Struthio camelus: one gene and its partner. The protein of the gene in region 1 interacts with the protein of each later gene in a biochemical or structural test. Links are inferred from orthologs where the notes say so. Each region holds a gene or a part of one and is shown on either strand. Other genes may lie near its edges.

The links.
Region 2: the proteins of BLNK (region 1) and CD79A form a complex in vitro, tested with the Homo sapiens proteins (2 studies listed by BioGRID). The link is inferred for Struthio camelus from reciprocal best matches to the Homo sapiens genes BLNK and CD79A.

Annotation. Positions count from the first base shown.
Region 1 is NC_090948.1:18,434,390-18,444,846, forward strand, and holds the start of BLNK (B-cell linker protein), read left to right. Parts: upstream 1-5,400; 5' UTR 5,401-5,483; coding exon 5,484-5,558; intron 5,559-10,022; coding exon 10,023-10,085; intron 10,086-10,457. UniProt on the Homo sapiens protein: Functions as a central linker protein, downstream of the B-cell receptor (BCR), bridging the SYK kinase to a multitude of signaling pathways and regulating biological outcomes of B-cell function and development.
Region 2 is NC_090980.1:231,775-242,961, reverse strand, and holds CD79A (B-cell antigen receptor complex-associated protein alpha chain), read left to right. Parts: upstream 1-6,131; 5' UTR 6,132-6,225; coding exon 6,226-6,286; intron 6,287-6,693; coding exon 6,694-7,167; intron 7,168-7,262; coding exon 7,263-7,381; intron 7,382-8,292; coding exon 8,293-8,361; intron 8,362-8,451; coding exon 8,452-8,565; 3' UTR 8,566-8,897; downstream 8,898-11,187. Other genes in the region: ARHGEF1 (rho guanine nucleotide exchange factor 1), read right to left, coding at 285-425, 499-604, 1,230-1,272, 1,382-1,480, 1,799-1,912, 1,993-2,076, 2,267-2,345, 2,918-3,104 and 1 more. UniProt on the Homo sapiens protein: Required in cooperation with CD79B for initiation of the signal transduction cascade activated by binding of antigen to the B-cell antigen receptor complex (BCR) which leads to internalization of the complex, trafficking to late endosomes and antigen presentation.

The DNA of each region.
Region 1 (10,457 bases):
AATTGTTTAATACGACAATAGGAAGGAACTCCAACTGTGTCAAATCACTCATTTCCTTCCCTGACAGGATAACTGCCTAGGGGATTAGGAGCATGAAGGATATATGGTCACTAAGGCTTTTGTTGTGGCCTAATGTAAAATTATCATAAGCAAGCTACAGAAATGTGATAAAGCACCATATACTGTAAGTGCTCAACCAGCTCTCACGGAGAAGATATTTGTGGTTCCATTTCAAACTCAGAGGTTATTTCAAGTAGAGCCCCATAGAGATTTGTTCCGGCCTTAATCGTATTCAGCGTTGTGTTAACGACACAGATGCTGAAATAAACAGTGCACTTCTAAAGTATATATGGATATCACCAAGATAGGTTATCCAGTTGCACAGGATAAAGACTATAATATGGGGACCAGTTTGGCCACTCTAACTTCCAATAAAGGTGTATCCAAACTTGAGTGATGAGAACAAAAAAGACTAAGAAAAGCTCTATAAATCACTGCTTAGGAAGAAAAGCTGAAGAAACTGGGTTTGTTTGCTCAGGAAATTTATATATAAGTTTATATATATTTCAAGATATATATGGATACGTAAAAGAGATATATACTCCAAAGGTGCTGTACAGTGGGTGCTCACCAGATTCAACAGGCATGGGAAACAAAGAAACCAAACTAATTTTCAGAGAAAAAAAAGAGTTGTTACCTAACAGTGAAAATGGAAAAACGTATAACGACAGTGATGCACAGGGACAGGATAAGAGATGTTATAAAAACCTTCAGTGGAAGTTTTAAGATCAGGTTAGACAAACGTTTTGAGGATGTCCTAGTGCAGCACAATCAGAGCGATCTCCAAGGGTCCAGCTCCAGGCTGCAAATATGATCCTTACCAACAGGCATTTTCTCCCACAGTCTAGCACGGAATTTATATTTGTTCCTCCTACTGTGCTCACGTTAGGATATGGTCAGCCTGGTACTATCCCAAAACCTTACAGTTAGAATAAAGGAGTTACCAAACTGACTTCCAAGACAGAGCCAGTTTGCTCTAGTTACATGTGATCCTGCCTCTCTACTGCCTAGGTCTCCTGAGGTCCCTTCCAGGCCCTATGGTTTTTATGCTTCTGTTATTTTGATTTCCTGTTAAATGAGAGAAGACAAAGCTGATTAGCAACATTTTCTCAAGCTTCTAGACAGCTGTGAGTAAGCCTTCATTCTCCAATTTCCTCTGTGAACTTATTCAGACTATGACACTTTATTCTAGTTTTTTACTTTAAGAATGTTTTTTTCCCCACCCACCATGAATGCCAGGCCTGTCAATCACACTAACAACAACAAAAAACATATGGGAGGGTTTAAGAGGCGAGAGCAGACATGAGAAGCTCTTCCTTTAACTTATTTGGAATCAACTCCAACATGCACGCCTGGGAGAAGAAAAACAAGGAGTATATGGTAAGTCATGTTCTTTTTGTTATTTTTGCATAAAAATAGCAATGCCAAAGGATTATATTCTGTATAAAGTCATACCTTAGAGAACTCAGATTTTACTCAAGTATATTTTGCTAATGAGAGCAGTAGTCCAGTGTTATATCCAATAAAATGTTACGTGCAGCTGCCTTTTCTTTTTTTTGCAAAGCAGAGTTAGACTTGAAAGTTTTAAAGCAAGTTTAACACATTTAGTGGCTCTGTTCATGAAAATATATAGCCCTATTTTGTAAGAAATGTTAATGGCATGATCTAGCAACCATTTTCTGTATTCCTCGTTAATGATTTCTATGAAATTGCAAATTGAGGACTCACTTTACGAAACTCCAAGGAGCAGTAGCCTGTAAAAACATGTCTCTTATGTGGCTTGCACATTCCAAACCGTAGGAAATAATTTTGTTCAAACATATATCATAATGGTGTGTTAATCCTGCTTTATGTTTGGGAGTTATGTATGAGAATGCCTTTCTATGTAAAGGTCAAATTATCTGGTGTCTAAAACATGCACATTAACTAAGATTCCCCTGATATTTGGTGCTTCTCAAGGGAGAGCAACACAGGGCTCAGCATCAGATGTCTTTTTTGCTAAGGGCTCCAGAAAAATTAAATTTCTTAATATACACAGATCAGTTTTGTAGAGCTCTGGGGGCTCCACAGCTTGAGTCTTCCCCAAAGTTGTTCCAGGTGTTTAACATTTACCCTACTAGAGGTAGAGCACCAGCTCCAACCCCACTTTTGGGGAGAGTGCAAAAGTAAACAGCAGGGATGAAAGCCGTTAACATTTCTGGTTCAACGCATCAAGCAGTTTAACCTGCCAGTTTCCATGCCAGATCAAGAGGCTCAGGGGCATATTCAGTAGCTACAAGCACAGCCTGCCCAGGGCTGGTGTTGGTTCACACTCAAGTCACCGCAACGCAGCCGAACAGGAGCAGCCAGCGCCTGGCCATTTGCAAAGAAACAGCATCTTCATCCCTACATGGACTCCCCCCACCTGCAGCCCACACGTCCCCACAGCCAACATGGGCTTGAGGGCACATATTTACTCAGACTACCATGATCTTTGGTGCAGGATAACCAGGAGTACAGGGGTACTAAGCAGAATTAATTACCAAAACCAGAGCCCTCAGAGGCAAGAATACTTCAAATACCCCCCCCGGAAGCAGTGAAAAGCAAGAGGAAACACACACTAACAAGCTGTCAGTTTGTTGCACACACTTGAGGAAAGAAAACCACAACGCTGGTGAAGCCAGCATAAATATCAGTATCAGAGACCAGCTGCAGGATCCCAGGTGAGCAGCCCCATGTCCCTGGGTTTAATTATTTTGTCACTGTGATCAATGCTCTAATCAGACCGAAAAGCAAAAGGTAAATAGTTTCTAGCAAAATGAAAGCCCCCGTGGTTCAGCCACCTCGGGAACACAGAGCTGAGCGTGACTTACCAGGGCGACGCGTCTCACTCAGTAGAGGGAGGTGAACCCTAATCCCAGCGCCGGGGACCCCTGCTAGTTGCATCCTGCTTTGACAACTAGCTGCATCATGTCATCCCCTGGAGGGCCCTCTCCCGAAAACCAGGAATGCAAAATTTAAGGAAACATCAACCCAAGCAACAGTAGGAGACTTAGCCAAAAGTTAGCCCCCGGGGGAGAGCAGTGACTGAGCACCCACGCCGGGAGGAGGGAGGCCGCGGCAGCGAGGGGGATGCGCAGGCAGGGCCGGACCCAGCTCCCACGCTATGCATGAACATAACAGTGGAGGGCGGCAGGCAGCAAGGAGCAGCTTCTGGCACCCAGCGGTTTCTAGCAACGCTACCGGCCTAACAGGCCATGGTGGGCAAGGGAGCCGGTGCTTCTGGCAACGCGTGCCCCACTGCAGAGCGCCCGCAGAGCACCGCTCTTAACCTGGCATCGAGGTGTCTGAATCGGAACGGCTTACACCCGCTCAGGAACCAAACACAGCCACTATCACAGAAATAATAGCATTGCAATTTCACTGTACTCGCGTTTCACTCCTGATAGCGTCTGTTACCTGGCTGTTTTCCCCAAGCAGCCAAAGCTATAACTCACAGGCATCTCCCACCCAGCTGCTGCCAGCCGCTGGCAATAATACATACATAAGGGACATGCTACTAATGCAATCGCTGCTGTGCTGAAACGAGGCACACAGATCCCTTTGGGATACATGCACCTCTTTCCTCTGTGCACACTGGAAGAAGGTATTGCTGCCTCCCCTCATCCAGAGCTGTTGCCCCCTTGGAACCACTTATGACCAAATGCTACAAAATATAACATATGATTTCTTATACACACAACCAGGTACTCAGATAATTTTCAGTTCTGAGAAGGCAAAGTTTAAGTTGCAAGGGCATTGTGTTAGTTCTGCATCTGAAATTCCAAGATTTGAGTTTGGCCGAGTTCATTGTTCTGGAAAGTCATGGCATAGTAAAGAGTTAAGAGTGGCAACAGTCTGACCTGTCAGTCACTCTAACAGCAAAAATACATGCAGGAAAATTTGAAGGATGACAGATGAGACATTTTAACTTTGAAAACGTGCCCAAAATCCATTTTGCTTTGGGAAATGAAACAGGAAGAGTTAATTGGAAAGCAGAACATTGATTCGTTGGTCTCCAGCCTTTTATGGAAGCTTTCCTATTTCTCCTGTCGTGATGACTCAGAACTGCTGAGCAAAATAATCTGGTTTTGTTTCAGCAGCTGCGTCTTGACTATTTTGTTGCCCAATGCATAAAGCAATGGCTCTCAAACTTTCCCTCATTGCTCCACTTCAGAATATGTACTGTGACCCCTTCTCCATTTTCAGAAATGCATATGCAGCTCATCTCAAACTGGGAACATGCTCTGTGCTAGAGGTGAATAGGGACCATGAGGAGCAGGGCAGGGGATTCAGCTCAGAGGAGACATCTGGATGGAGACAAGGGTGCAAGGGAACAGAAGTGCCACTCAGCCTTTTCAGCGCTACTTCATCTTGCCTCCATCCAAGCCAAACTGCTGCATTCATTCCTTCTCCTGCTGCTGGGAGTGTTTCCCAGCTTTGTGTCGGCCCAGGGCATTGCACACCTCCCTCCATAGAGGATAACATGCCTGCCCGCATACACAGACCCACATCCAGCCCAGGACATCCCCCAGGTCAAAATGGCTGGAGACTGGAAGAGTGTAGGGATATACTTCATGCTTGCCCCTTTCAATACTCTTTCCTAGGCATCCCATTTCTGGCCGCAGTCAGAAGACAAGATACTGGGCTACATGAACTTCTGGCCTGACCCAGGACATGCATTTTAGGTCAGCCTTAGCTTTTTAAAAAGGTAACAGAGTATCAGAAAGAATTTGTTCTTTAACAGTACTAAGAACCTGAGAGAAAAAAAATTCTTTAGAACATACATTGCCCTTGAGTAAATGACTGAGTTTTAAGCCCAAGAGTATGATGCCCAGACTTGACCGGAAGTCTGACATTAACTAACGTGACTGTAGGAAAGCACGAGCTCTGTAACTAAGCTCTATTTCTTCTGTGTAAACACCATAGCTCAGCATGTCAAAACCAAGGGCCATGTCAAATGTGGTCTGAAAAAGGATCCAAGCAACTGCAAGGGAGTTCGAGGTAAGCAAGCCAAGTTAGCTGCCATTAGCAGGTTTTATAATAGATATGAAAAATAGTCACACCTTAGTTGCACCTGTAAATAAATCAGACGTTGATGACTCAAATATTTTATACATTGGTTTTCAGCAGAACTCTTAGTAAACTTCATTAATGAGTGATATTTGCATATCTTAATATAAAAGAACACTTACAGATTCCTTAGACTCAAAAAGGATCGCTCACACAAGAATATCAGTACTTCTTAAGCTACTTTTAAAAAGGCGTGCACTTTAACTGCACAAACAGGAAAAAAGTTGCAAAAGGACTTCCTCTTAGGATTTCTACAGCAGCTGAGTAAAAACCAGTGAAGCAGCGGTTCAGTGTTATTCATATAGATCAAGCCTTTCTCACTGGATAGCAACATGGCTACAAAACTACCATCTCAAGAGGAATGCGAGAACTGGACAGCATTTCAAGTTGCAGATCTCCTAAGACAGGTACTGAATGTATATGCAACACTCACAACAGTTCTTCTATATTCAGCTAGCAAATCTCTTTCTGAATTTATCTTTGTAAAAACTGCAGATATCTATCTTAAGATAGATTAGACAGCAGTTGCCACCTCCAAGAACTCATTTGTATTAATAATCTGTGAGTTTCTTGGTGTTCTCCCAGCTTTTACAGAAATTTAGTTCTGCTAGCTAAGATCTCCTTCATGGTAAATTGTACAAAAAAGTTTGCTCCCAAGAATATTTCTTAGAATAGAAAAGATAGTTGAGGCCATACTTTCTTTCTGGGAAGAAATAACCATTTCATTGGAAGCAGGCATAATTTTTTTTATTTGAACATTACTTTAAAATTTACAGTTTGTCAACAACAATCTACTTTTCATCTTTTTTTCAACATGCATGTACCTACAGTAGTTTCTAGATGTAGTCTTAAGCTTAAGGTACCTGAAGTTTTGCTTTTTTAAATGATTCCTTTGTCTTCTTGTACCTTTCCTACTTCTACAATGTCTGCAATGCAAAGTCTATGTAGGTAACCTGAAGTGCACAAAACACTCCAGACCTGTCTGCAGTTATCCCTTCACTACTTGAATAATCTCTCCTCCAAGATGTTTTTTTTAAATCAGATTTTTCCATGTAACATACTGAACATTATAAGTCAGGTTTTACTGCAGCTTACCTGTATGAGCTATATATAACCTCCTTTTACGTTTGTTTGTTTTTTCAGTGCAAGTTTCTCACTATGACTTTACATCTAGGATTTTTCTGACCTGTGTGCATTCTACTTCTAACTTTGGTACACAGTCTTTGAGAGTGCCTGCTTTACACCAACCATGAGAACTTAGTCTGCTATCAAGGTTTCTCATCCTTTTTAATTGAAGGAGCATGCCATTTTTTTGAGGAAGAAGTAGAGCATTATGAGATGTTTCTATAATAGTTCCATTTATAACCACATAAGCAGGACAAAATTTAAAATGCTCCTGTATGACTTATTTTTGCACTTTTGCATTGTGTGAATACCCTATTCTCATGCATGTGTAATTAAAAAAAAAGTTTTACAATGCAGATGGATCACAGGCAGACCACAGTTGCTAGGCTGAAAAAGCTAACTTGTTCCACACAGTTAATACATAGCTTAGCTGATACATTATGATTACGCTGTGAACTTCATTATTAGCACGAAAAGTTGTGGTAATTAATCAGCTCAAAACCTTTCATCTTAAAGGAAATCAGATTAACAGAAGATGTAAAAACATCAAAGTCCCCTGCAATTCTACACCAGACTACAAAACTGAAAACTAACGACAGTTGTTCAACAACTGAAACTTCCAGGAAAACTTCAGCAGGCAAGCTGTTAGCTACTGAGTTCATGCTCTGTAAGAGAAGTGTTAGGACCTTACTCTTCCATGTGTACATCAAGTTGTTAATGCTTGTACCTATGCTTACACCACTGATTAAAATAGCTAAGTGATAGGACAGCTACAGCATAACCAACATTTAGTGTTTGGCCGCTCTGTGCGTCAAGGCACGGTGCTGGCAGCCGTTCAGCCCCAGCTCACCTCTGGCCAGCTTGCATAGTGCTAGTCAGCTTCCAGTAGCAGCGACCCATAAGGAGCATGACCTGACCACTGGGTACTACCATCAGCTCTGCAGTCAGCCTATGTACCCGCAGATGCAAGCATCATGCCCCAAAGACAGGGCGCACACACACACACACAAACCATAAAATAACAGCATTAAGCAGTAAGGTTGCAGGATGAAGTACTTGGATGTTAAGAGTGCCAGGACAGGGTTTACCTCTATAACCAGACTTCACCTCCTTTTACATATTACAACAGTCTGTAACTGCTTCTTCATGCACTGCTTTTCCTGTTCCCAAAAACCTGCTTCTTTCCATGCAAAAAGCCTTATGTTTTGTGCACTACTCTGGGCTGATACAGAAATTGTAAGATGCACAAGGCCAAGGCTTGCTGGAAGAGAGGATGAACTCATAGTAACATCAGCTGACTTCTGCCTTGAAGTATCAGATGCTGTCACTGCCCCAGCACAGCACTCTCACCTGGGGCACTACAAGTCACCTGTACGCAACCTGCCGTTGCCTAGGTGCCTGATGTGAAATCCCAGGCTCTGATTTGCAGAAGTGGTGAGAACCGAGAATCGCAACCAAAGTCAGTGGGAGCTCTGCTCAGAAGATAAAAACGCCAGGTTACTGAATATGATATATATGACACCCCTGTATGTGTATATATTATATTTATATATTTTATATGTAAACAGGCCCCAGGTTTGAGTAACGTATAGTACAAAAGAAAGCAGGGAGCACTGAACAGACTGCGATATGTTGAACAGCAGTTCATGACAGTCACATCAGCTTATGTGCTCTGACTGACACTGCATCCTCTAGAAGTACATTGGAAATAAAATGGTGATGGTTCAGTGACCATCACTAAACACAAACAGTGAGGCATCAGCTTGTCATCTACTTGTTTAACAAACTAACAATGTAAAAAGACCAAATTTTCCCTTACACAAAAGGTGCATGCTTGATTAACAGCATAACACAAAGCAAAAGAGAAAAGGAACTCATTGGAGCCAATAATTGGAAATAGATGGGCAAAAGCAAAGAGCAGAAACTATGCATTATCTCGATCCTTCTCCTTTCCTCCAGTGTCAGTACAATGGTGCTAGTGGCGAATTAACACTCCCCACAGCAACCCTCTCACATGTGATGTGATCAGCGATCATATCTGGAAGCCACAATTGCACTGTAAACAATCAGCACTCTCCCAATCATAGAATAAAAGAACAATTTACAAACTCAGATGCAGAAACAATAGTTTATAGACCAAACAAACTGTCTGAATAGCTCAGAAACCCTGACATTAAAAACCAAGCAGATTTATGCTTCAGAATTTTCTGCTTAGATCAAAATAAGTAGATTAAATATTTTATTCTGAACATTTCTAAGGGCAAACAGTTTTAAGGAAAGTATTCTAGAAATAAAGAATTACCTTAGAAAGACCATATAACTATTTCTATGAGAAGAATTTATTTTCACTAATGGCCCTCTGTTAGTCTCTGTGTTAGTCATTACTGCTACAGAAATTTACATCTATAATATAGGGGACAGTCAGCAAGGACTGATAAATGTGTGACAAATGTAACGTTTTCCCTATGTTTTGTACTCCAGAATGTAACAATTTGTTTTAAATTCTAAATGTACTTGCTTAGAACAAACAAGCATTTAAACTGTCACTGATCCAATCCTGGAAAAACCTGGATGCTCACTGTAAGCTTCTTATAAACTGCAGGGAGATCTTGCACACCTATGGGAAGCAGACATCTGCCTTCTTTCTGAGCATCAAGATCATACGTTTAACAGTTTTCCAGAGCTCCGTGGCTCACGTCTGAACTAATGAAATGAATGTATAGGATCTGGTTTTAAAGTTCACTTTGTTAGTGGAGCTGAAACAGATAGACTGAATACTTTAAGTATTACAAATACTGAAACTCATTTCAAGAGCTGCACATCCTTAATGAAAAGAGTTATAGATTTTCTTTCTACTTTGTGTGTAACAGTGCAATTTCTTTGAAAAGCCAGGCTAAAGTATATAACACAGCAATCAATGAGACTTCTAGGACTTTTTCAGCCCAATTCTATTCCTTACTACTTTTTTTTTTAATCAAGGAAATCCAATGTATCTACTTTTTTCTCAGTTACTATTTAGTTTCTGAGATAAGGAGATACTACTTCTGGGCGTTCTTATTTCATTTTACTTTATAATCAACAACAACTTGCTTAGGGGAAAAAAAAGTCATGTTACTGAGAAGAGATCCTGTTTCTGAATACAAATCACTTTCTAGCAATGCCCATCTGTCATGATAACTGAAGGCCTATCCCATGCTCTCATACCACAGATGCACCTAGCCAGAACATCTGCTTCTAGAAATCAAACAGCAGCCAAAGCAGAGTTGGTGAACACGCATGTAAAAATCAGTCTCTCTCTTATCTGGCCTTCAGTTTCCAGAGCAAGCAGCGATGTAGCATTTCCTGGAGTGATGGCAGAGCTACCAACCTGCTTATAATTCTGGCCACCTCTTATTCTATGGCAATTAAATTTCCACAATTTGTTTCTGTTGTGCTCTCTGCTCAATTTATGTTATACTTGCTGCTTCACAATTTCACCTTGTCTACTCCGTTTATGATTTTATCAGCCCTCACCCCCTGTAATCTCTCTTCCAAAGAGAGCAGTAATATTCTGTCTTATCTCTTATGTGGAAGCTACCACCTATTTCTGAGCACTCTGTCCAATATTATCTTCTAGCAATCCATGCCAAGTGGAATATATAAAGATTTCAGAAATCGTATTAGTATTTCCATATTGAAATACTTAAATTTCTTTATATGTAAGTCAAGTTGCATACTTTTACTAATTCTGTTCTTTCTCACCTCAGTTTGGAATGTCTGAATCTGCTGCGGTTGTGGAAAAACTGGGCATGAATGGATCTCAGTTCTTGGTAAGCAAGCCTTTCATCAGGCATATCAGTCAGTCATATTTCAGTGTAAGGCTTGTATTCCTTACAGCAGCAAGAAAGAGTCTGGCATTTTCTTTCTTTGCAGCTGCGTTAGTCAGTTGCTCTGGTTCCACACAAACGAGGTATTTACATCTCTGACTTGAGGAACCTTCTCCTACATAAGTCCCAGCCAGCCCTTCCCCCCCTCCAGAAAGGGTATAGGTGTCTAGAATCACATGCTAGTGCAGACATGGGAAGGAATGTCTCCTATGAAAAATGACTCAGTTTTTCTTTAAGAAGCTATATACTTTATAGTTACTCTTTATGGAAAAGCTTTTCCATAGAACTTACATGATTAAAAACATCTACTACATG
Region 2 (11,187 bases), on another chromosome or scaffold:
GGAGGGGGCGGCGGGGGGCTTGTGCCCAGCTGGGGGGGGGGGTCTCCGGCTGGGCCGCGGGGGTAAAGAGCTTGGGAAAGAGTCGGCGCACGCGCAAAAGGCACGCGGCGGCGGCACCGCGGCAGCCGAACCGCAGCGCCCACCTCCGCTGCAGAGGGGGCCGACGAGGGCCCCCCCACGGCCCCGAACCGCGCGCGGCTGCGCCGGCGCCGGGGGTGCCGGCCGCGGGGGAGCGCGCGCCCGCCCGCCCGCCCACGCGCCTGTCCCCGAGGCGTCCCACTCACTGCATCTCCTCCAGCCGAGCCAGCAGCACCTCCGCCAGCTGCTTCTCCTTGGCCTCCCGGATGCCGACGTCCCGGGTCTGGTAGGACTCCAGCTCGGTCAGCTCCTGCTCCCCCGGCGTCATGCCCATCAGGCGCTTGGACCTGGGGGACGGGGCGTCAGCGCCGGCGGGACGCGCCTGCCGCCCCCGTGCCGCGGCCCCCGGCCTCCTCCCACCTGAAGTCCTCCAGCTGCCGGGAGATCTCGGGCTCCTGGAAGGCCTGGATTTCCTGCAGGTACCGGCGCTGCACGTCGTCCGCCAGCAGCTCGGGGCGCGTGCGGTCTGCGGGGCAAGGGGGCCGCGAGCTGCCTCCGGCTGCGCCCCCAGGCAGCCCGGCCCGCGCCAGCCCGGGCCCCCGTTCAGGGCAGAGCGCGGGGCGCCCGCGGGGTGGGACGGGTTCGGGGCGCCCCGTGCCCCGCCGGGGCGTCGGGGGCTCTTCCCAGGCCCCTGCGGGGGACGCAGCAGGACTTGGGCGGGAGGGAGAGGGGCGCAGGCGAGGGGGCCCTGGGGAAGCGGCGCCGGAGCGCGCAGGGCAGCGTTTGGGGGCCGCCTGCAGCGTCCCCGAGCACCGGGAGATGGTGCCATGCAGCTGCGTCACGTTGTCCCCCCCCCCGACCCCCCCTCCCAGCCGCAGCCCCATGAGCTCACCCTGGCCGGGGCTTCCCAGGCGCTTCCGGCCTTTCTCGCCAGCCGCGGCCAGCTGGGTGCGGCTGGAGGAGGAAGGGCCCAGGCCGGGACAGCGAGCAGCGGGTGCCGGGGGGCTGGGGTTGCGCCGTGGGGTGCAGCGGGGGGAGCCGAGGGGGGACGGGGCGCGCCGTGGGGTGCAGGCGTGGGTTTGGGAGCGAAGCCGAGGGGCTGAGTCGCGTCCCTAAACCCCCGCGCTGGGGTGGGGGGGGAGTTAACTCACCCAGTTCGAACTGCACCTGGTGGGGGACAGGCACCCGCAGGAGCTGCGAGAGAGGGGGGTCAGCGAGGGGCGGCGGGGGGGCGCCGCACCCCTCTGAAAGCCCCGCGGGAGGGGGAGCCGTGGGGCGCAGAGGGGCTGGGGGCGTCACTCACCCCGGCCTTGTCCAGGAACAAGTGGCAGAACTCGAGGAACTGCTTCTTGCCCTCCTTGGGGTTCATCTTGCGCAGCATGTCCACGTGCAGGTAGCAGAGCTGGGGGGGGGGCGTGCACAGGCTGACGGCAGGGCCCCCTGCCCCCCCTGCACCCCTCCTGCGCCCCCCCTGCACCCCGCGCCCCCCCCGAGCCCCCCAGGGTATTACCTCAGCTCCAGCCCCTGCCAGCAGGGAGGGGGGAACAGAGAGAAGAGGTTATTCAAGGGGACGCGCCGCGCAGCCGCTTACGCGCGCGCACCCCCCGGGGGGCTTTCGCACGCTGGTAGGGGGCCCTCTGCAAGCCCAGGCGCCGGCCTGGGTCCCTGTGCGGCCCCCCCCCGCCCCCCCGGCCCGCGAGCCGCCCCCGGCGGCGCTCACCACGGGGCAGGAGTCGAACTGCAGGACGACGTGCTGCAGGAAGGCCATGAGATAGGCCGGGTGCTGCCGGACCAGCTCCAGGCTCTGGAACATGCTGTTCTGGTCGTCGGGGTTCTGCGGGGTGGGGGGGGCAGAGTGAGGCTCCTGCGGGGCCCCCCCTCACCCCCGGCGCCCTCCCGCGGGCGCCCGCTCACCGGCTCGATGTCGTTCTCAAAGTCCTCATCCTCGGCGCCGATGATGGCCACGACGGACCCGCCGCGAGCACCCGCCGCCGGGCTCTGGGGAGAGACGCGGTGTCGGGGGCAGCGGGGAGAAACGGGGTCGGGGCGGGGGGGGGGGGGCGGCTTTCCGGGGCGCCCCCGAGCGCAAACAGCCTCGCAGGGCGCCTCTCCGCCCCGGAAATCCGCCCGGGTCGCGGCGGCGGGGGAGCCCCGTCACCCCCCCACCAGCACCAGCACCCGCACTCACCCCGTTAAACGCCTCCTCGGGCTCCATGCTGCCCCCGGGGAGCGGGGGGGGCCCCGTCGGCCGGCTCGGGGGGTCGCGCCTGGCGGGGAGAGAGGGGGTCATGGGGAGACGGGCCCCGAGCCCGGGGACCGAGACGAGTTTGCTGGGTCTCGAGCCCGAGGGCGCCCCCTCCAACGGCGGCGCAGGAAGCCGCGGGGGCCCATCCCTCTCGGCGAGCAGGATACGGGCGCGCGGTGCGGGGGCGCGCGCGGGCGAGGGGCGGGGGCGCGCGGCCGGACGCGCTCCCCGCAGCCGGGCTCTCCCCGCCCCCCCCCCCCCCGGCTCCGACGTTCGGGGTGGGGGTGGCGCCGGGCCGTCAATGGGGCTCTGTGCGGCACAAAGAGCCCCATTGAGAGCCCGGCGGTGGCGGCGGGGGGGGAAAGGGGGGGGGCCCTGCCCGCCCCACCCACCCCACCCCACCCACGCGCGCCCGCCCCGGCCCACCCTCTCCCCGCGCCCCCCAGGAGCCGCGGCCCGCGCTCCTGCCCGCTCGGACGCCCCCCTCGGCGGGGCGGGGGGCGCAGGTGCGCGCCGTGCGGGGGCTCGGCGCCTTCCGGGGCCGGTCCAGGGCTGCTCCCCGCGCGCTCCACCCCCCGCGGCCCCTCTACCTACCTCTTGCCGAGCGGGCGCCGGTGGCACGGGTCCGACGGGCAGGAAATGTGGCAACCCCTGCCCGTCGGGGGGGGGGGCGGAGTACGGCCCCAAGAAGTTTGGGGGGGGGGGGCAGGACCCGGACACCTGGGCTCCTCGGGGCGCCCCCTCCCCGTCGCCCCGCAGCGGAAAGGCGGCTCCTCGGGCTCTAAAACAAAGCAACGGCCCCCAGATTATTTACGGAGAGAGCAAGGCTTCCTGCAGGAAGTGATGTGCAACGCGACGGCACCAGCCTCCCCCCGCCCCACGGCGCGGCCCGCGGCCCCCCACCTGCCCCGCAGCCCCCGCGCTGGCAGGGCCCCCCGGTCCTGCCCCGCGGCCCCCCACCGGGGCGGGCTCTGCCCCGCGGCGGCCCCAGGGCCCCCCGAGCCCCCCCCATCCCCGGCGGCGGCGCTGCCCCCCGGCGCCCCTCACCTCTGCCCCACAGCCCCGCCGCCCGCTTGGCAGCGCCCTCGGCCGCTGCCCTGTCCCCGTTGGACGGTGTCCAGGCTCCAGCTGTCCGGAGCGGGCCGCGGGGGGGGGCCGGCCCTGCCGGGGAGCGGGGCGCCCCCCGGGCGCGTGGGGGACACCGGGGGGGGGACACACACGCCACGGGTGTCACCGAGGCCCCAAATGCCTCCGGGATTCCTGGCATGGCAGGGCCGCCGGGAGGGGCGGCGATGCCGGGGAGGGGCGAGAGGCGGTGCCCCCCCCCGGGGCAGGGGACACCCCGCCTCCACCGTGGGGGCAGCCCCATAGCCCTGGCAGTGGGGCGCCCCACGGCCGGGCGCCCCTCGCGCCCCTCCGACGCGGCCTCCACCCTGTACGGAGCCGCCCAGCTGCCCCCCGCGCACGCGTCTCCCCACGGCCCCGGCCTAGCAGAGCCCTGCCCCACATGCACGGCTGCCCCTGGCCCCCCGCGCATCTCCTGCCCCACACAGCTCCCGTGGCCCCACACGCGTCCCCTGGCCTCATGTACGCTCCAGCCCTACACGCGTCCCCTGGCCCCACATAACCCCAGCCCCACACAACCCCAGCCCCACACGCATCCCCCGGCCCCACACACATCCCCCGGCCCCACATAACCCCAGCCCCACACGCATCCCCCGGCCCCACATAACCCCAGCCCCACACACATCCCCCGGCCCCACATAACCCCAGCCCCACAGGAACCCCCTGGCCCCATGTACACCCCAGCCCCACACGCATCCCCTGGCCCCACAGGAACCCCCTGGCCCCATGTACACGCATCCCCTGGTCCCACATAACCCCCAGCCCCACACGCGTCCCCTGGCCCCACATAACCCCAGCCCCACACACATCCCCCGGCCCCATGTACACTCCAGCCCCACACAGCTCCCGTGGCTGAATAGCTCCCGGCCCCACGCGCGTCCCCTGGCCTCACGTACACTCCAGCCCTACACGCGTCCCCTGGCCCCACATAACCCCCGGCCCCACAGGCACCCCCGGCCCCCCACACACCCTCCCGCCGCCTCCCCACGGCGCCGTTCGGCTGCCGCAGCCGCTGCCGGACCGACACGACGCCAGAACCGGAGGCAGGAAACGGTCACTTCCGCCCGGCTCGGCTCGGCTCGGCTCGGCCCGGCCCGGTCCGGCTCGGCTCGGCTCGGCTCGGCTCGGCTCGGCACACTCACCGGGTCGGGTCGGGCCGGGCCGGGGGAGCGGGGGAGCGGGGGAGCGGGAACCCGCTGCCGGTTGCGGCCGGTCCGGGCCGTCCGCTCCTCTCGGCGCTTCCTGCGGGAGGAGCGAGGCCGGGAACCGCCTCCTGCCGCCCGGGGCCGCGGAGTCCCGGCCCGCTGCCCCTCAGCGCCCCCAGCGCCCCCAGCGCCCCGGGGGTCGCTCCCCCGCACCCCCAGCACCCCTGGGCATCACCCCCCAGCACCCCCAGCACCCCTGGGCATCGCTGCCCCCGGGGGTCCCTGCACCCCCAGCGCCCCAGCCCCGCTACCCCGGGGGTCCCTGCGCCCCCAGCGCCCCGGGCATCGCTCCCCCGCACCCCCAGCACCCCTGGGCATCGCTGCCCCGGGGGTCCCTGCGCCCCCAGCGCCCCCGGCCCCGCTGTCCCTGCTCGCACACCCCCAGGTCCCACATCTCCCGCGTGCCGCCGCGACACGACGCGACGCGACATGACACGACGTGACACGACACAACACAACGACGCGAGACGACACGACAACACGACACGACACGACACGACACGACACGACACAACACGACACGACACAACACGACACGACACGACAACACGACACGACAACACGACACGACACGACACGACACAACACGATGACACGATACGACACGACACGACAAGAAGACACGACAACACATGACACGACAACATGACATGACGACACGACATGACGATACGACGACACGACATGACACGACATGACGACACACCGACACGACACGACGACATGACACGACGACACGACATGATAACACAACACAACACGATAACCCAACGTGACAACACGACACGATGATACGACGACGCGACGCGACACGACGACATGGTGATACGACGACGCGATGCAACGCGACACGATGACGCGATGACATGACGCGACAACCCAACCCAACGCGACAACCCAACACGACACAACAACACGGCACGACAACCCAACCCAACCCAACAACCCAACACAACGACACAACATTACAACCCAACACGACACGACAACACGACGCAACGACACGACACGACAACCCAACACGACACGACAACACAACACAACGACACGGCACGACAACCCAACGCAACACGACAACCCAACACGACACAACAACCCAACACAACGACACGACACGACAACCCAACCCAACACGACACCCCAACACGACACAACAACCCAACACAACGACACGACACGACAACCCAACCCAACACGACACCCCAACACGACACGACACAACGACACGGCACGACAACCCAACGCAACACGACGACACGACAGGACACGACAGGAGGACGGCGGGGCAGTCGTCCCCGGTGCCCCCACCCCCCGGAGCGCAGCCGGGGTGGGCGACCCGCGTGGGTCCCCGTCCCTGAGCGGGGCTGGTAGGGCATCCCCGGGCTGGGCCGGCGTTCGGGGTGGGGCGTGGAGGCGGCCCGCCGCGCAGGCGCCCCGCGGCCCCCCGGGTGCCGGGCAGGGGCGGGCGCGGGGCGCCGGGGCGCATCTCCTGCCGCGGGGCCCGGCGCAGAGAGCCCGCAGCAGGCGCGCAGGGCTGCGCTCCGCCGCGCCGTGCCACGCCGCCGGCGCGACATGGCGGGTGCTGCCGGCCGGCGCGGCGCCCCGCTGCCCCTCGTCCTCTGCCTCTTCTCAGGTAGGGCCCGGCCGGGCGGGGGGCGCGGAGCGGGTGGTTGGGGGGGGGCCAGCCCGCCCCGAAACGCTCGCCCCCACGGCGCGGGTGGGCTGGGGCGCAGCCGGCGGCCCGCGAGCCCGCGGCGGGGGGCAACGGGGCGCCGCGAGGGGAAAGGCCCCGCGGCCCCCTCGCCGGCCCCCCGCCGCTGCCCCCCCCGGGGCACCCCGGAATAGCGTCGGCCCCAGCCCGTCCCTTTTGCTTCCTGTCAACACGGCCCGAAAAGAGGAACCGAAACCGGCCCCAGGGGGGTTGGGGGCGGGGGGCGCGCGGGGCCGGGGCCCTGCTGGCGCCGGGGAGGCCCCCCGCCGCCTCCCGGCGAGCTTGGCCGGGCCCTGAGGTGCCCCCCCCACCCCGCGCTCTGCCCGCAGGGTGCCTCTGGCTGGCGCCCGCCGCGGCCAACCGGACCTGCAACGGCAGCAGCTGCCCCTTCTCCCTGCCGCCGCCGCCGCCCCCGTCCCGCCTGGCCCTGACCCCCATCCTGGTGGAGAACAACCAGACGGTGGCGGCGGGCCGGTGCTGCCCCGGCAGATGCTCCGTGGTGGTGGAGGCCGGGCCCACGTCCCGCACCGCCACGGTGGGCGACCGCGTCAGCCTGGAGTGCGTGTTCAAGGCCCCCAAGGACGCCACGGTGACCTGGAACCGCGTCTGCCCCCACAAGAACTGCAGCGCCTCCTTCGCCCCCGTCAACACCAGCTACGGCGGCCGCTCCCTCTTGCTGGAAGCCGGCCGCGTCACCCTGACCTTCCGCCACGTCGACAAGCAAGACGCCGGCCTCTACTTCTGCAAGGTGGAGGCCGGCTGGGCCGCCGGGCGGTCGTGCGGCACCTACCTGCGCGTGCGCAGTGAGTGGGGGGCGCGGGGAGGGTGGGCCGGCCCCTCCGGCGGGCGAGGGGGGCTCGGGGCCGAGCTGACGGCCGCCCCCGGCGCCCCCTTGCAGACCCGATGGCCGTGCCCTTCCTGAACATCAAGGAATCCACTAAGAACCGGATCATCATGGCGGAGGGCATCCTGCTCCTGCTCTGCGCCGTGGGACCCGGCCTCTTCCTCCTCTTTAGGGTGAGCCCCCCGCGCGCCCGAGCGGCGCCGGCCACCCCCCGCCCCGAGAGCATGCGGCGGCAGCGGCAGCGGCGGGTCTGGGGTCAGCGGTGGCGGGTCTGGGGGCGGTGGTGGTGGGTCTGGGGTCGGTGGTGGCGGGTCTGGGGGCAGCGGTGGTGGGTCTGGGGGCAGCGGTGGCGGGTCTGGGGTCGGCGGCGGCGGGTCTGGGTCAGTGGTGGCGGGTCTGGGGGCGGTGGTGGTGGGTCTGGGGGCGGTGGTGGCGGGTCTGGGGGCAGCGGTGGCGGGTCTGGGGGCAGCGGTGGCGGGTCTGGGGCGGCAGCGGCGGTGGGTCTGGGGCGGCAGCAGCGGGTCTGGGTCAGCAGTGCCAGGTCTGGGGTCAGCGGCGGCGGGTCTGGGGCCAGCAGCGGTGGGTCTGGGGTCGGCGGCGACAGGTCTGGGGGCAGCGGCGGTGGGTCTGGGGTCGGCGGCGACGGGTCTGGGGGCAGCGGCGGTGGGTCTGGGGTCGGCGGCGACAGGTCTGGGGCGGCGACGGCGGGTCTGGGGGCGGCAGTGGCGGGTCTGGGGCCAGCGGCGGTGGGTCTGGGGCGGCGACGGCGGGTCTGGGGGCGGCAGTGGCGGGTCTGGGGGTGGCAGTGGCGGGTCTGGGGCCAGCGGCGGTGGGTCTGGGGTCGGCGGCGACGGGTCTGGGGGCAGCGGCGGTGGGTCTGGGGTCGGCGGCGACGGCGGGTCTGGGGCGGCGACGGCGGGTCTGGGGGCGGCAGTGGCGGGTCTGGGGCCAGCGGCGGTGGGTCTGGGGTCGGCGGCGACGGGTCTGGGGGCAGCGGCGGTGGGTCTGGGGCGGCCCGGCGCCGGCGGGATGCCCCGCGCGCCGCGAGCCCCGGCCTGAGCTCTGCCCCTTTCGGCCGCCGCAGAAGCGATGGGCGAACGAGCGGCTGCTGCAGCTCAAGAAGAGCGCCTACGAGGAGGAGAACCTCTACGAGGTGAGCCCGCCGGCGGCGCGCGCGCCGTCCCGCCCCGTATCCGCCGAGCCCCGCGGCCTCGCTGACCCCGTCGTCCCTTTGCCTCCCCAGGGGCTGAACCTGGACGAGTGCTCCATGTACGAGGACATCTCGCGGGGGCTGCAGCCCACGTACCAGGACGTGGGCAGCCTCTGCGCCGGCGACACGCAGCTGGAGAAGCCGTGAGGGGCCGGGGCCCTCGCCTCCGGCCTTCCGCCGTGCCCGCGCGTCACCCCCTTCCGCCTCCCGCCAGCCCCCCGGCCTCTTCTCGCCCTCCGGCTTCCCACAGACGGGGGCAATTTGGCGCCGGGATCGGCGCCCGGCGCAGCCAGCTCCCGGCAGCACCAGGCAGCGACAGACGCCCGTTATCGTCCCCTTTGGCTCGAGTCCCCCACGGCTTCGCTCCGCTCTTCAACCACGCGGTTCCCTTGGCGTTCCCCTCCCCTGACTGTGGCTCCGGCCCCAGGTGCTCTGCTGGCCGGGCGGCTCGACCAGGAATAAAGCTGACGAGCTGCTGACGGGGGGTCCTGGAGTCCGTGCGACACGGAGGGGGCTGCACGGGGCCGGGGGAGGGCGTGCGGGAATAGAGCCGCTCTGTTCCCGGCCGCCGCGCTCAGCCCTGCCTCGAGCCGGCGCGTCTCAGACTTTCCAGGTCGGCAGCGCCCCGCGGGCCGCAGCAGGAGTTTCCGTGTCCCTCCCCCTTCCCCTTCGTGCCGGCAGTGAACGAGGAGCAGCCGCTCCCCAAACGAAGAAAGCAAAGCAAAGCTCGCCTCCTCTCCCACCCCGACTGCCCCTTCCGTCTCCCCGGGAGAGGGGACTCACCCACCGGTGGCGGAGCGCCGCTTCCGCTGCTGCCTCCCCGTGCGCCCGGAGCGCGCGGGCTGCGCGGGGGAGAGCAGAACCAGCGCCCGCGGGCCGCCGCCGCCTTCCCCGCGAGCGCTGCCAGTCCGCGCCGCCCCTCTTTCTAGCCCACCGAAGGCGCCGGCTGTTTTAGGCCCCAGCTGGAGCGTCTGCGGGGACGAGCCCGTCCCTGTGACTCTGCGGGAAACTGGGATGACTTCGCAGGGAGCCAAAACGGGCCAGAGCTTTAGTGAAGGCCATCGTCACGAGCAAAGGGCACTTCCTCCGCTTGCGCTTCCGCGCCCTGGGTCTCGAAGGTAAATGGTTTCTCTCCCCCTTGCCCGAGGGAGGAGGCCTGTGCCAGCCGCTCCTGGGTTTTCGCGCACCGAAACGCACCCCAAGATAAAAACCGCCTGCGAGAGGGGCGCCGGGGACTCGCCTCCCCCAGTTAGACCCGATTGCTCCTCGCCACCGAGATGGATGTACCTGTCCCCGCCCCGGGGGCAGTTACAGCACACGAGGTGCAGCCGGCAGGCCGCGCGGGACGAGCGTCGCGCTCCCGCCCCGCACCCCGGCCGGGAGGAATCGGGCGGTTGGGAGCCGGCAGGGCGATCCCGCTTCCGGGGGCCTGAGCCGGTGTTAGAACGAGGCTCCCCAAAGCTGAGCCCCTCTGCGTTGGGGCGGGACTCCTCGCCCGCCCCAGGACGCCGCTGCCTCCTCCCAAACACCTTCCACGATCAAACGCGCGCCTCCCTCGGCAAGCCCGCGGTGCCGCCCCTCCCCGCCACCGTCTTCCAGACACGCTCGGAGAAACAGCGATGTGGGGATATTAATAAAACATTTGTTATGAAGATAAACACAGAGCAGGAGAGAGCTGAAGAGCACGAAACTTCCTCTGCTTCCTGTCAGGCCTCTGCGGGCCGCGGAAGGCAGCGCTGTGACAGAAAGCAGAGCCGGGGGGGCTCCTCGCACGGGCCAAGGGCGGCCGCTGCCCCGTCCTCCCGGTCACCCCTCCTTCGCACGGCCCCAAACTGCCCCGGGCGAGGTGTCAGCCTCCTTCCCGACTCCCAGCCCAGCCTGGGGGCGCGGGACAGCCCGGTTTCACCTCCCGGGCAACACGGGAAGGGCGCTTCTCTCCCGCTGCGCTTTCCCGCCGCGCCGGGTCCTTGCTGAAGCCCGGGGGCTGCGGACTGAGCGTTTGCTGACGCAGAAAGGCAACCCGGGCAGGCTAGAAGGGGAAGGGAGGAGCAGGGCCTTGGTGGGGACAGAAACGGGCCGTCTGGCCCTGCACCGCGGCGCCTCCTTCCGTGGACACCAGCGCGCCCGAGGCAACGAGGTGCTGGGCGCGCGGAGAGGGGACAGCCATCACTGCTGCGTCCTTAGGCGCTTGGGGGCGTCGAGGCCACGTCAGGGGAGGAGGAAAAGCCCCAGGAAACTGTAAGGCTTACATAAGTAATTGCTACCCTGTGGTTTATTGATTTTGAGGCACGCTTTTTTCTCTCTTTCATAAGCTGTACGCGTTAACTTGGGTGCTGTGTCCAGTGGCTTCAGAAACAGCTCCCCTGGGTGCGTCTAGAGAGCGCGCTATGCAGGGCTGCTTAGCTGCTGCCGCAGCAGAGCTACAGAAATAAACGGGCAGTGACATATTTGGGCCTAATTCTCTGTAGCCGCAGAGTAAATAAGAGCCCAGGCCTCCGACGGAACGTGAATGCACAGAGAAAGATGAGCCACTGCGCTCTTTCTTGGAGCCAGGCATGGAAAACCGCAGCAGCCTAATCCTGATACTGATACCTTCTGATTATAATTGACTAAGCAGTGACACTGTCCCCTTGCATTTGTGTCTGGCTCAGCATCAGCTCGGCTCCGTGCCGACAGCCTCCGACACGCTGCCGTGCGGGAATGCAGGAGCCAGCACAATGGGAATGAGATGTCAGGCTGTGGCCGTCGCTGCGCTGGACTGCAGCCAGG